Linked DNA regions of Sus scrofa. The protein of the gene in region 3 interacts with the protein of the main gene of each other region in a pairwise test. Links are inferred from orthologs where the notes say so. Each region holds a gene or a part of one and is shown on either strand. Other genes may lie near its edges.

The links.
Region 1: the proteins of HOXA1 (region 3) and SLIT1 interact in binary tests that used the Homo sapiens proteins (3 or more experiments, as listed by UniProt). The link is inferred for Sus scrofa from reciprocal best matches to the Homo sapiens genes HOXA1 and SLIT1.
Region 2: the proteins of HOXA1 (region 3) and RGS17 interact in binary tests that used the Homo sapiens proteins (3 or more experiments, as listed by UniProt). The two-hybrid records come from large-scale screens. The link is inferred for Sus scrofa from reciprocal best matches to the Homo sapiens genes HOXA1 and RGS17.

What each region holds. Positions count from the first base shown.
Region 1 is NC_010456.5:108,453,440-108,457,085, forward strand, and holds part of SLIT1 (slit homolog 1 protein), read right to left. Parts: intron 3,122-3,646; coding exon 2,984-3,121; intron 1,432-2,983; coding exon 1,194-1,431; intron 1-1,193. UniProt on the Homo sapiens protein: Thought to act as molecular guidance cue in cellular migration, and function appears to be mediated by interaction with roundabout homolog receptors.
Region 2 is NC_010443.5:13,339,814-13,343,559, reverse strand, and holds the start of RGS17 (regulator of G-protein signaling 17), read right to left. Parts: upstream 2,560-3,746; 5' UTR 2,502-2,559; coding exon 2,314-2,501; intron 1-2,313. UniProt on the Homo sapiens protein: Regulates G protein-coupled receptor signaling cascades, including signaling via muscarinic acetylcholine receptor CHRM2 and dopamine receptor DRD2.
Region 3 is NC_010460.4:45,476,196-45,479,941, reverse strand, and holds the start of HOXA1 (homeobox protein Hox-A1), read right to left. Parts: upstream 2,382-3,746; 5' UTR 2,283-2,381; coding exon 1,628-2,282; intron 1,147-1,627; coding exon 791-1,146; 3' UTR 1-790. UniProt on the Homo sapiens protein: Sequence-specific transcription factor. Regulates multiple developmental processes including brainstem, inner and outer ear, abducens nerve and cardiovascular development and morphogenesis as well as cognition and behavior.

The DNA.
Region 1 (3,646 bases), on a different chromosome or scaffold from region 3:
CAGAGCCATCCAAACCTGGAAGGGGCCACTCAGGAGGTAGCACCTGTCCCTTGAGCCATGCAAGCAAAAGCTGGAGCTGTACCTTAGGAGGGAGAACCCTCTGCGATGCTGTAGGAGCCATGGTCTTTTTTTCTGCCTTGTCCCTTTTGGGTCAAGACCCTGGCCCCCTGGTCTGTAGAGCTGGCACATGGCCCCATCTGGACCAATCATAGCATCCTATCTCCCTGGACTCAGTGGTGGGTCGGGGATGGGCATGTGACCTAAGGCAGGCCCACCAGAGATCTTCCCTGCGGTTGTTGCCTGCTGTCCAACTAGAGCTGGTGGGAAGAGCCCAGTGATGGGGAGGGTGGGATAAACTGAGCATCTCCAAGGATGTGCCTGAGGCAATGGCTGGGCAGGGTCTTGGTGAGTTTTATTTTGTGGAGCAGTGAGGCTAGCGGTGGTCTCGCTGTGTAGACCATATAAGTGGAGAGGATTTTGGAGAGGGGATCAAGGGTAGGACAGCAGAGTGAGTATGTCTGAGAGGTGGAAGGGTTCTGAGAAAAAAAGGAGAAGAGGACAAAAGAAAGGAGAGAAGAAGGATGCGCATTTGGGATGGAATTTGGGGAAAAGAGACAGATGACTAAAGAGGAGTTTAAAATTTTGTATCGTGTCATGTCCAGGGCAAACTACTCTCCTGTGCCAAGAAATACTTGGCTAACATAACACTGCTGTTGAAGTGAGACTTGCTTCTATTTCCCTCATAATGATGCTCTGAGATGGGATTCAGGACATGGAATGGCAAAATAAGGGATCCCAGGGACATTTGGGACATGTACATAGACATAGAAGCCAGGGCTAGCTGTGGCTGTGTTCCTGCCACATAGAGAAGCATGTCTGCAGCTCGGGAGGCTCAAATTGAGGCTTTGAGGAGTTGTTGAGACAAGAGTTTGGTGGGAGAGGACCCCGGAAGTTTGGTTTTCTGGGTCCAGTCACCCATGCCCTTCTCTGAGACTGATTTTGTGACCCAATAACCTTTCCAGCTGAGCTCAAACAAGTTCAAGCTGAGATCCTGATACCCACATCCAAGAAGTCTGGACCAGCTCAGGATCCTCCCAGCCATCCTGGGAGGGATGCATCTTGATGCTCTGACCTGAGGCCAGGAGCCCCTGCTGCCTGACCACCTTCTGCGGCCGGGCGCCCTGGGCACGCACCTGCAGCGTGATGTTGGCCCGCGGCCAGTTCTGCAGGTCGGTGAACTGCAGGTACGTGTCGCGATCCACGAAGTTGACACTGAGCAACTTCTCACACTCGGGGCCGCCAAAGCCCGGGAGGCACTGGCACACGGGCCGGTTGCCCTGGTCCACACAGTTGGCCCCATTCTGGCACTCAGTCCCCTCACAGGGGCTCCTGGGGGTAGGCCGGTGGGGAGGGGTCTCACAGAGCTGCCCACTGAGAGGGAAAGGACACAGGTCAGAGGGGACAGGGCCGGGGAGCAAGGAGTCATCATCTCTCTCCCACAGTCCTGGAGAGAAACTCACTAAACATCTTGGAACACTGTGCCTTTAAAGCATCAGATGATGCTCCTAATAAACACTTTCCCAGAGAGAACTAAGAGCCAGAAGGATGCTGAGAAACAAGTGTGGTCCCTGGACCAGTGGCAATAACATTGCCTGGGCACTTGTCAGAAATGGGCTCTTGAATCTGGCTTTTTTTTTTTTTTTTTTGGTCTTTTTGCCTTTTCTGGGGCCGCTCCCGTGGCATATGGAGGTTCCCAGGCTAGGGGTGGATCAGAGCTGTAGCCTCGGCCTACGCCACAGCCACAGCAACACCATATCCAAGCTGCATCTGCAACCTACACCACAGCTCACGGCAACGCCGGATCCCTAACCCACTGAGCAAGGCCAGGGATCGAACCCACAACCTCATGGTCCTAGTCGGATTTGTTAACCACTGAGCCATGATGGGAACTCCTTGAATCTGACCTTTAATAAGATCCCAGGTGACCTGTGTGCACCTTAGTTTAAGAAGCACTCACTGCTCGTGTCAACAAACTCTGCTAGCAAGTTTGACTATACCCATTTTATAGAAAAGAAAGCTGCGACTTAAGACACAAGCGAAAGAGAGAGGACTCTATAGCATCAAATAATCACAACAGCCAAAAAGAAGAAACAACCCAAATGTCTATCAGTGATGAATGGACCCATACGACGGAATATTATTCAGCCATAAATAGGAATGAAGTTCTGTGACATGCTACCATGTGTATGAACCTCTAAAACATGATGCTAAGTGAAAGCCAGCCACAATGGACCACAGATTGTATGATTCCATTTATACAAAATGTTCAGAATAAATAAATCTATAGACACAGATGTTACCGATTAGTGGTTTCTAGAGCTGGGATGGAGAGGGGCTGTGATGACAGATAAGAGTGTGGAGTTTCTTTGGGGTAATGAAAATATTTTAAAATTGATTGTGGCAATGGCTGCACAATTCTGGGAAACTACGAAAGCCAATGAATTGTACACTGTAACTGGGTAAACTGTATGGCATATGAATTATATCTCAATAAAACTGCTTTTTAAAAAAAGACACAAGCAGAGCATGGGAGGTGGGTGGCCAGAAGGTGGGCAGGTGCCCTCCCCTCCCAGCCTACCAGAGAGGCCAAGATGCAAAGGTAAATGACCTTTAATGCAGGACATGTCTTCAGGGGTTCACTGGGCAGCTAAAGGATGGGGCATTGCCCAGTAATCTGTACTCACCTCCCACTCTGCCCAGCAAACAGGTCAGGGGCCCTTTGCCTTTGCTCTGAGCTGCTAAGAAACTTTCCCCAGACCACACAGATCGTGACTACCCCAGCCAAGCTTAAAGCCCCGGGACCCAGCGCCCAGGCTCTGACCCTTACTCCCTCTTGCTAGCCACACCCGGGGGCTCCTGCCAGCCCCAGAGGCTGATGGCTAAGAGGAGTCAGTGGCTCGTGATGGATCCAGGGACTGCTCACCTGAAGCCCTCAGCACAGACACAGGTATAGCCGTTGACTTCGTCCACGCACTGGGCCCCATTCTGGCAGCGGTGGTCCCTGCAGTCATCCTGGTTCTCACTGCAGTTGTCACCTGTGTAACCTGGTGCACACTCACACCTAGGGGTGGGCAGGGGTGGTGGGCCATCAGCCCCACACGCAGCACAGAGCTCAGCCAGGAGTCTGTGGGGCCCTGGGGCTGTGTGTATGACAGAGAACCTCATGGCCCCATGGGTCTGTGGGGTCCCCCAGGAGATCACACAGAGCCCTAGCTGTCAAGACGCCCTCACCTGTCCTGGGACCCTTTTCTGCTCCAGGAAGAGAGCTTGTGTGGGCTGCCGGCGGTGGGGGGAGGGGGGACTGGAGGGCTGGACACCCAGCAGCTGGAGGAGATGGACCCTTGCGGCGGAGGACCCACCCTCAACATAAACATCACATCCAAGGTCAAGCTTCAGCCCCTTTTCAGCCCACCCACCTGCCCCCGCAGCCCCAGTGCATGGCCTTGAGTCCTGTGGGAGCTCATCCATCCGCCTTCCCCAGCCTCCCAGCTGCACGGGTCCAGCCTCCCGGGGCTCAGATGTCAGAGCCTGCCTCTCCACAAGCTCCTGACTCCAGGCCAGGCCCCAGCTTGCCAGCTCCCACTGT
Region 2 (3,746 bases), on a different chromosome or scaffold from region 3:
GAGGCCACGCCCATGGCTTGTGGAAGTTCCCGGGGCCAGGGATCAAACCCGAGCCGCGGCATCGACTCAGGCCACTGCAGTGACAACGCAGGATCCTTAACCTGCTGAGCCACACTGGAACTCCAGAACTGTTTTATTTCTTTAAGCTTACCATAAAAACTTAAAATATTTTTGAGGATCCAGGATACTCCCTGAATATGTCACAATTCTAAGTCTCTATAATGACTCCGTGCTTATACTCGACCTGTAGTAATCAGATGAAATAAAATGGTTTTTAACCTCACATAGTTATTCTCAACCACTGGGTATACAGTGGTCCTTGCATTTGCCTTTCTGGGTGGTGCAATATTTTCATTATTAACTAAGCAGAGCTGGACTATCAAGAAAAGGATTCTCAGCAGAAACGCAGTTGGATGGGTTCCATTCCTCTTGGCTCCATTTCTCCTTGTCCATTCCCACCTTTCACTTTTCCAGAAAAACCCATGCCTTTCAGCAAATAGATTTCTAAGGAAGGCCACTATCTCTACAACTGTAAATTAGCAGGTAAATGCTTTCTTACTTTTTAGTCTATGAGCCAACCGAAATTTTTATCGATTTAGTTTTTAGATTTGGCTGTTATAAGGTCAAACGGATGAGGATACACACATTTGTCCCTTTTTTCAAAGCCCCTTGCCCTCATGGTAAGACAGGTTCAGGCATGTCTTCATCATCACCATCTTCATCACCACCATCATCAAAAAGTATAACAAGGCCAGAGGAATGATAATGACTTAGACGCTAACATTATGAGTTCCAATAAGTCAGGACCCTGTAGGAAAATTTCCTAAAAGCTGAGAGAGAATCTATTTGTGAAGAAGAAGCTGTATGACTTAAAATTGAACAGGAATAGCGGATAACTCTCCTAGTTAATTCTTTTCCACAGAGACTAAACACCAAGGAGCAGTTGAGGAACCAGAGCAAAAAGGGCAGCATTTGGAAGAGCAGACACCTCTGTAAAGTAGGAGGTTCTCTTTATCTTTCAGACCACAAATTCAGGAGGAAGGATGAGTTGTCCATGGCTCTGAGATCAGGTATCATTGCCATGGAGATTTATCTTATTTAACCAACGATACCATCTAATCCTTTTGTAAAAACAAATACTTGTTTTCTCATCTCTAAAAAGTGTATGTTTTCTCTAAATACAGTTTTTAAGAATGTAAAAACAGTGAATAAATCTACTCTCCTGTGAGTGTGCTAATTACTGTTTTAGTTCATGCTAACAGAAGAAACAGCTTGATAACAGTCACTTAAGTGGAAGAGGTCAAACTGCTCATTCATTTGATGAATGAGTATAAATCACCTTTCCATTAGATATTAGTGCAAAACGTATATTTCATAGAGACCTGCTATTGTTACCACCAAGGACTTTAGAAACAAATACAATTTACCCAAAGTGTTTCACAGTTTTGAAAAAAGTATTTAATACACATAATGCCAAGCAGCTATGAAACCAGGAGAAAAACATTATTTTCCATTACAAGAATACAAATTGCTTCTCGTTTCTCCAATTAAATGATTTTCAGAGGGTTCATCACCCGGAAAACCAGAATGTATGAACGCCGGAAATGCAGATGACATTCAGTCTCAGAAATGCTTGCGGGAATCCAACTACAAGATTTCTCTCTATTACCTGCGATAGCCATCACATGGAGGAAATAGGCCGGCTGTAAAACAATTTTAAAAAAGAAGAAGAAACAACTGCGGGAAGATTGCAAAGTTCTCTAGACAAACCTTCGAGTGACTGTTTTAAAGAAGGAAACCTTTATCAAGGGTCAGAGAGGTTAGGAAATCCACTATGCCAGGCGCCGGGGTCAGTCTCGCCAGAGCGACTGAGATTGTCCCAGGTGAGTGGGTGTCCCGGGTGGAGGCGGAGGGAGTAGGGCGGGTCCCCACACCGCGGGCATCTTTTTGGACAGGCGACCCTTGCTCTGCCTTCTGAAGCCCAGCGATTCCCGAGGCCGGCACTGGGCTGCCCGGGACACCCTGCCAGCAGCCTCCCGCCTGCGAGGACCACCTCCCCATCCTTGGCTTCTCTAAGGATGAAGAGGCCAGCCCTATCTCTCCGCCATCCTCAAGTCCTCCGACATTTTTCACAGAGACAGGGAGGTAGGGAGTAAAGGAAACGGCCGAGTGTCTGCACCCAGCCTCTGCCGCAGCACATGAAGAGGGAGAGGAGGAGGAAGGCTGGCGAGTAAGCAGCTATGAAACCGTAATTCTAGCGATTATACAAAGAATCATCATCACCTACAGAAAGAGAGTCTCGGATACACCCACCTTGGGCAGTGGCTGGGGGATTGGTGGGCGTTCCACCTCCTCGCCCCCTCGAAGGCTGTGAAATCTACCCGAAGCCGAGCACACGAGAACTCCCTCTCCATCGACCAAAGGAGCGGAAAGAACAAAAGAGGCCCCCACCCCCTAAATACACACACCTCAGATGTATTACCGATGCTCAAGGTAGGCATTTCTGCACCCCCTTTGGCTCACACCTCCCTCACCTGCATTTCCCCAAAGGTAAAGGAAAAAAAAAAAAAAAAAAAAACACCCCGAGGTGATCGGTCGACTGGACACTGTTAATTTCACATTCGGTTTTCTAACAAACAGCCACCCAAATCGGCAGGACCTCGCGCCCCGCGGGGTCTCCCGCCGCCCTTGGCCCTCCCTGTCGAATCGCCGAGGCGTCCAGCTCTCCGCTGAGGACCCGACTGTGGGCAGGATCCTTCCCTGGGCGGGCAGGACACTTGCCCAGCGGGTCCGCAGCAGCCGGAGGGCGACAAGCGGACCGCGCCGAGGCTACAACGCGGGATTCAACTTCCCAAACCTGCAGCTCGGCCCCCGCTTCCTCCCGCGGTGCTGCGGGCTGAGCGGAGACCCCCAAGCCGGCCGCCACCCTCTTCAGAGCACAGGCAGTTGTACTCTCCGCCCCCTCTTTCCTTCACCTCCGCACTCCCCCACCTCTAAAAAAATTCAACCACCGGTGCAAAGCAGACATTTTGATGTCATTTACTTAGCGCGGCTCGGTTTCAGAGGCAACATCTTACCCAGTCGCCTGGAGGTGTGGGCAGCGCACCAATGCGTCCGGGGGCGCGAGGCTGGGCTGCTCGGTCCTCTAGCAGAGCCGGTTTGCTGCCATCCGCCCAACTTCAGCACCCAGCGGGCGAGGAGAGAGCGACAGAAGCGAGGACGGAGGGGAGGGGGAGGGGGGAAGGATGGAAAGGTGGGCGGGGAGGGAGCAGGAGCCGCTCGGTAGCGCGCATGCGCCCCGAGGGCGGGCGCAGCCCCTCGCCCCGCTCGGCCGGAGGTGCCGCTTCTGCCTCGGGCGCGCGACCGAGTGAGTCACGGCCCCGCCCCTCCCCGGCCGCCCGCCCCCCGCGCGCCCGCCTCGGCTCGGCGCCCACGGCGCGCAGGGGCTCGGCGGGGGCTCGCGCTCGGGCGCCGGGGGTCGCGGCTTCGCGGGCGCTTTGGAGACCTGGGAGCCTCCCCGTATGAGAGGCTCTCGTGCCCAGTCTCCTGCAACTTCACGGTCACCCCCAGCCCGCGTTATTTTATCCTGCGCTTTAGGAGAACGATTGAAACCAGAAATCTGTCTTTAAGGAATAAAACAGCTGCAGCAGCGGGGTCCTAGAGGATGCAGTCTCGGCGCGGGTGGGGGGGCGGGTTCAAAGAGGTGTGAAGTTAAGCGAGTGTGGCTTAGCAAAGGACTCGATTTT
Region 3 (3,746 bases):
AGGAGAAAGGCGTGGGGATGGGGAGAGACTCAGCCCAGGGAGCCAGGTTTCTGACCCTTTATGCTGCAGGCTTTCTTAACTTGCTGAAAGAACAAACGGAGGCGACCCTCTGAGGCCTCTGATTGATTTTACTGGGAGCTTTTAGTCTTTAACCTATAATCACATACAAAGTTGTACCAGCTTAGAGAGTTTGCCCACCCTATTTTCATCCCTTAATCTAAACATTTCTAGAAAATCTGTATAAAGATAAATCTTTCAGGACAAAGTATTTACAACCAGCAGACTCACACACATGAAACTGAGTTAAATTAAGGGGTGAATTAATTGTGTAAACACGCTCATAGTGCATCTCTTCCTCATGAGCTCCTGGACTCTCTTCTCTCTCTATCCTACTTTAAGGGCAGAGTAGGGGAGAACTGTAAATACACGGTTAGATATAAGATGAGAGGCCTCCCTCTGACATGTTTCTGCTGGCAAAGGAGACTATTTTCCAAAGGGCATCTGAAAGGAACTGTAGGGTCTGTCAAAGAAATCTCCTAAAACTAGGGGCGTTAGGGGCCTTGAGAAAATTGATGTTGGCACTCAATTTGCATTGCGGAGCTAGCACTCCCCTGCCCCCACACCAGTCTCTAATCCAGAATTCACTGGAAACACAGTATCCTGGCCAGGAGTTCCCCAGATAGGATCAGAGAGGAAGAGAGAGATTGTAAATGGACAGGAAGATAAGCTAAGAATGTGCTTTGGGAAAGAAGTCCCAGCCGGAAGAGTCGAGTCTGGGGCTGGGGCGGCCTCAGTGGGAGGTAGGTAGAGTGTCTGAGGTAGCAGACCCCGGGGAAGGAACGCAGGGCGAGGAGCTGGACTTCTCGGAGGATTCCTCGGCCTTCTCCTCACTGCCCGGTGGGGTGGCTGGAGAGATGGGCAAGAGGCCCTCCTTCTCTCGTTTCTTCTGCTTCATTCGGCGGTTCTGGAACCAGATCTTCACCTGGGTCTCATTGAGCTGCAAGGACGCGGCGATCTCCACCCTGCGGGCCCGCGTCAGGTACTTATTGAAGTGAAACTCCTTCTCCAGCTCCGTGAGCTGCTTGGTGGTGAAGTTGGTCCGCACCGCGTTGGGCTGACCCACGTAGCCGTACTCGCCAACTTTCCCTGAGGGCAAGGGGAAGCGATGGGGAAAAAAGGGGAAAAAATTTATATTCGATATGAGAGTCCCTGTAGGCTTCAGAGCAAGATTCAGGCAAAGGGGGAATCAAGAATTTCTCAACACAAGCCGGGCTTGGGAGGGTGAGTGATGAGGTGTAAAGCGTTCATCTGAAGTCACCCATTAGCATGGTCAGACCAGTGATTAATGGAGCCTGGAGATATTAACACACACATACACACCTACCCACTTTCCCACGTCCTACTTCCAAAACCTCTAAAACTCAGCCCCCTTGGAAACACAACAATCCCAGATGTTCCTTTGTGCCAACCACACCTGGGCAGCCTCCCAACACCCTACAACACCGGTGGGAAGCAAGAATTTTAAAGAAAAAAACAAAACAAAACCTTGATTAATTTTCCTTGGAAACTAAGCATACCGGCTCCTTCCTGAATAATCAAGGATCATTCATGGAAGGGCAAGACTGACCTGTTTTGGGAGGGTTCCTTTTGACTTTCATCCAGTCAAATGTCTGCGCTGGAGAAGACGTCTCTGATGCAGGGGAGCGGCAGGCTTCTTGGTGGCTGGCGTGGAGAGGGGACAAGGAGTTATTATACGTGGCCAGGGCCAGGCTCTGATGCTCTTGTCCATATGAGTGGTGAATATATTGAGGCGAGCCCACCGCGCCCCCGGCATAACCCTGGTGGTGGTGGTGATGCTGGACCATGGGAGATGAGAGATTTCCAGAGTAAACAGCGGGAGCGCACGTGGGGTACCCACCACTTACTTCTGCTTCCTGATTTAACGCGTAGGAGCTGTAAGGCGCGCCAAAGTTCTGCGCGCCGTAGCTTGGACCACAACTCGAGTGGGAGTAGGACACCCCCAGGTTCCCAGGAGTCTGGTAGGTGGCCGGCTGGGGGTGGTGATGGTGGTGGTGGTGGTGGTGGTGGTGGGGCGGGCTGATCTGCACCCCCCTGCCCACTAGGAAGCGGTCGTCGCCGCCACAGCTATTGGCACTGACCGCGCACGACTGGAAAGTTGTAATTCCATGGTCGGAGGGGTAGGCTCGCGCTGAGCAGGTCCCCGAGTCGCCACCGCTGAGGATGGGGTATTCCAGGAAGGAGCTCATTCTTGCATTGTCCATCTGTCACTGAGTGACCGGGTCCTGCGAAGCCCTGAGTGACCGTGCCAACTTTCTCACTTCCTCCATGGGGCCGGAGAAGAAAAATGATATGAATGTACAGTGCGCAAGAGGGGGGGCGGGAGGGCGGAGGGCGCTAGGGGAGGGGCACGTGACTCTCTCAGCCAATGGCGGAGCCTCCTGCGAAAGTTTGCTGGCTCCTGCGGTGATGGATCACCCTTTCAGTGGCATTTAAATCCCCGGCGCTCCTCAGTCTAGGTGACGCGCAGTCGCCCCCCCAGGCAGCCCGGGCGGCAGCAGCAGCTGCGGCGGCTGCAGGGGCAGATTCCCAGCGTTGGGGCGAAGGGGAGCAGGGGCTGCCTTCTGCGAGTGGCCGACTCCGATCGCCCCCCTCCGGGAGGTGGGGGCTGAGAGCCATCCTCGGTCACCGCCCCCCTCCCCACCGTGCACAGAAAGAGGAACTGGCAAGAGGTGAGACGCCAAGAGGGCTCCGCGCTCTCTTGGGTCGGGAGTCAGTGGGAGGGAGCTCGCTGGGCCGCCACTTGCACACTGGCTGAGCCCGGAACGCGAGGAACTGGAAGGGTCGCTCCCCGGGCGCTTTCACTGCCGTCCCTTCTGTGATGCCTTGGGGGCAGTGAGGAGAGCCGAGAACGGTGGCGGGGGACGAGGCTGGGCCACCACCAGGTCTCCGGAAGGAGAGGGAAGTGCGCAGAGGGCTGGCTGGGGGAACCCGAGTGGGCGTGGAGGGGACAAGCGCAAGAAAGGAAACTTCCCTCTCCCTGTAGGGTCTTGAAGCCCCCGTTCCTCCCCCACCCCCACGAGCTGTTAGCGTGGCAACGGGGAGCTGCTGTAATTCGATGCTCGGGAACGGGTGAACCTTGGGAGCTAAGCTTGCCGGAAAAGGCCGGGGGTGGCCCGGCTCTTCGCCCTCCCTCTCTCCTCGCTCTCCGCCCCTTTCTCCTCCCCACTCAGCTCTGTTCTGGGAGCCCTGCGGGATCCGGAGCAACTCTGCTGCCGGATTTTGAGGGGTAGGAGGCGGGGGAGAGAGATGACGCTAGCCGACGTGGCCAGCGTGGGGGCCGGGCCGTGCGCTGCAGGCCATCTGCCGGCTCCCTAGGACCCAGGAGCCTGTGTACACCGACCTGGGCCTCAAAGGGCGAGACCACAGTGAAGTACGATGAACTCCCCCTCCACCTCCCCTCCCACCCCGCCACCCCCAGAAACGTTTCTCGTTTCCTGGAGGCGAATGTTAGGCGTGCTAGAGCTTCCTTCATCCACCCCCCCCCCATTCTACTGCACAGCTGAAGTGGGGGTGGGGGCTGGCAGGTGGGAGGGGCAGTGGACAGATGGCTGATGGTGGACAGGACATTTTCTTCTTCCCCAACAACACCTCCTCCCTTTTGTAAACTGGCTGTGTGGTTCCCTGTGTGAACCTTCAAGTCCTTCCCTAGAGAGACACGTGCAAAT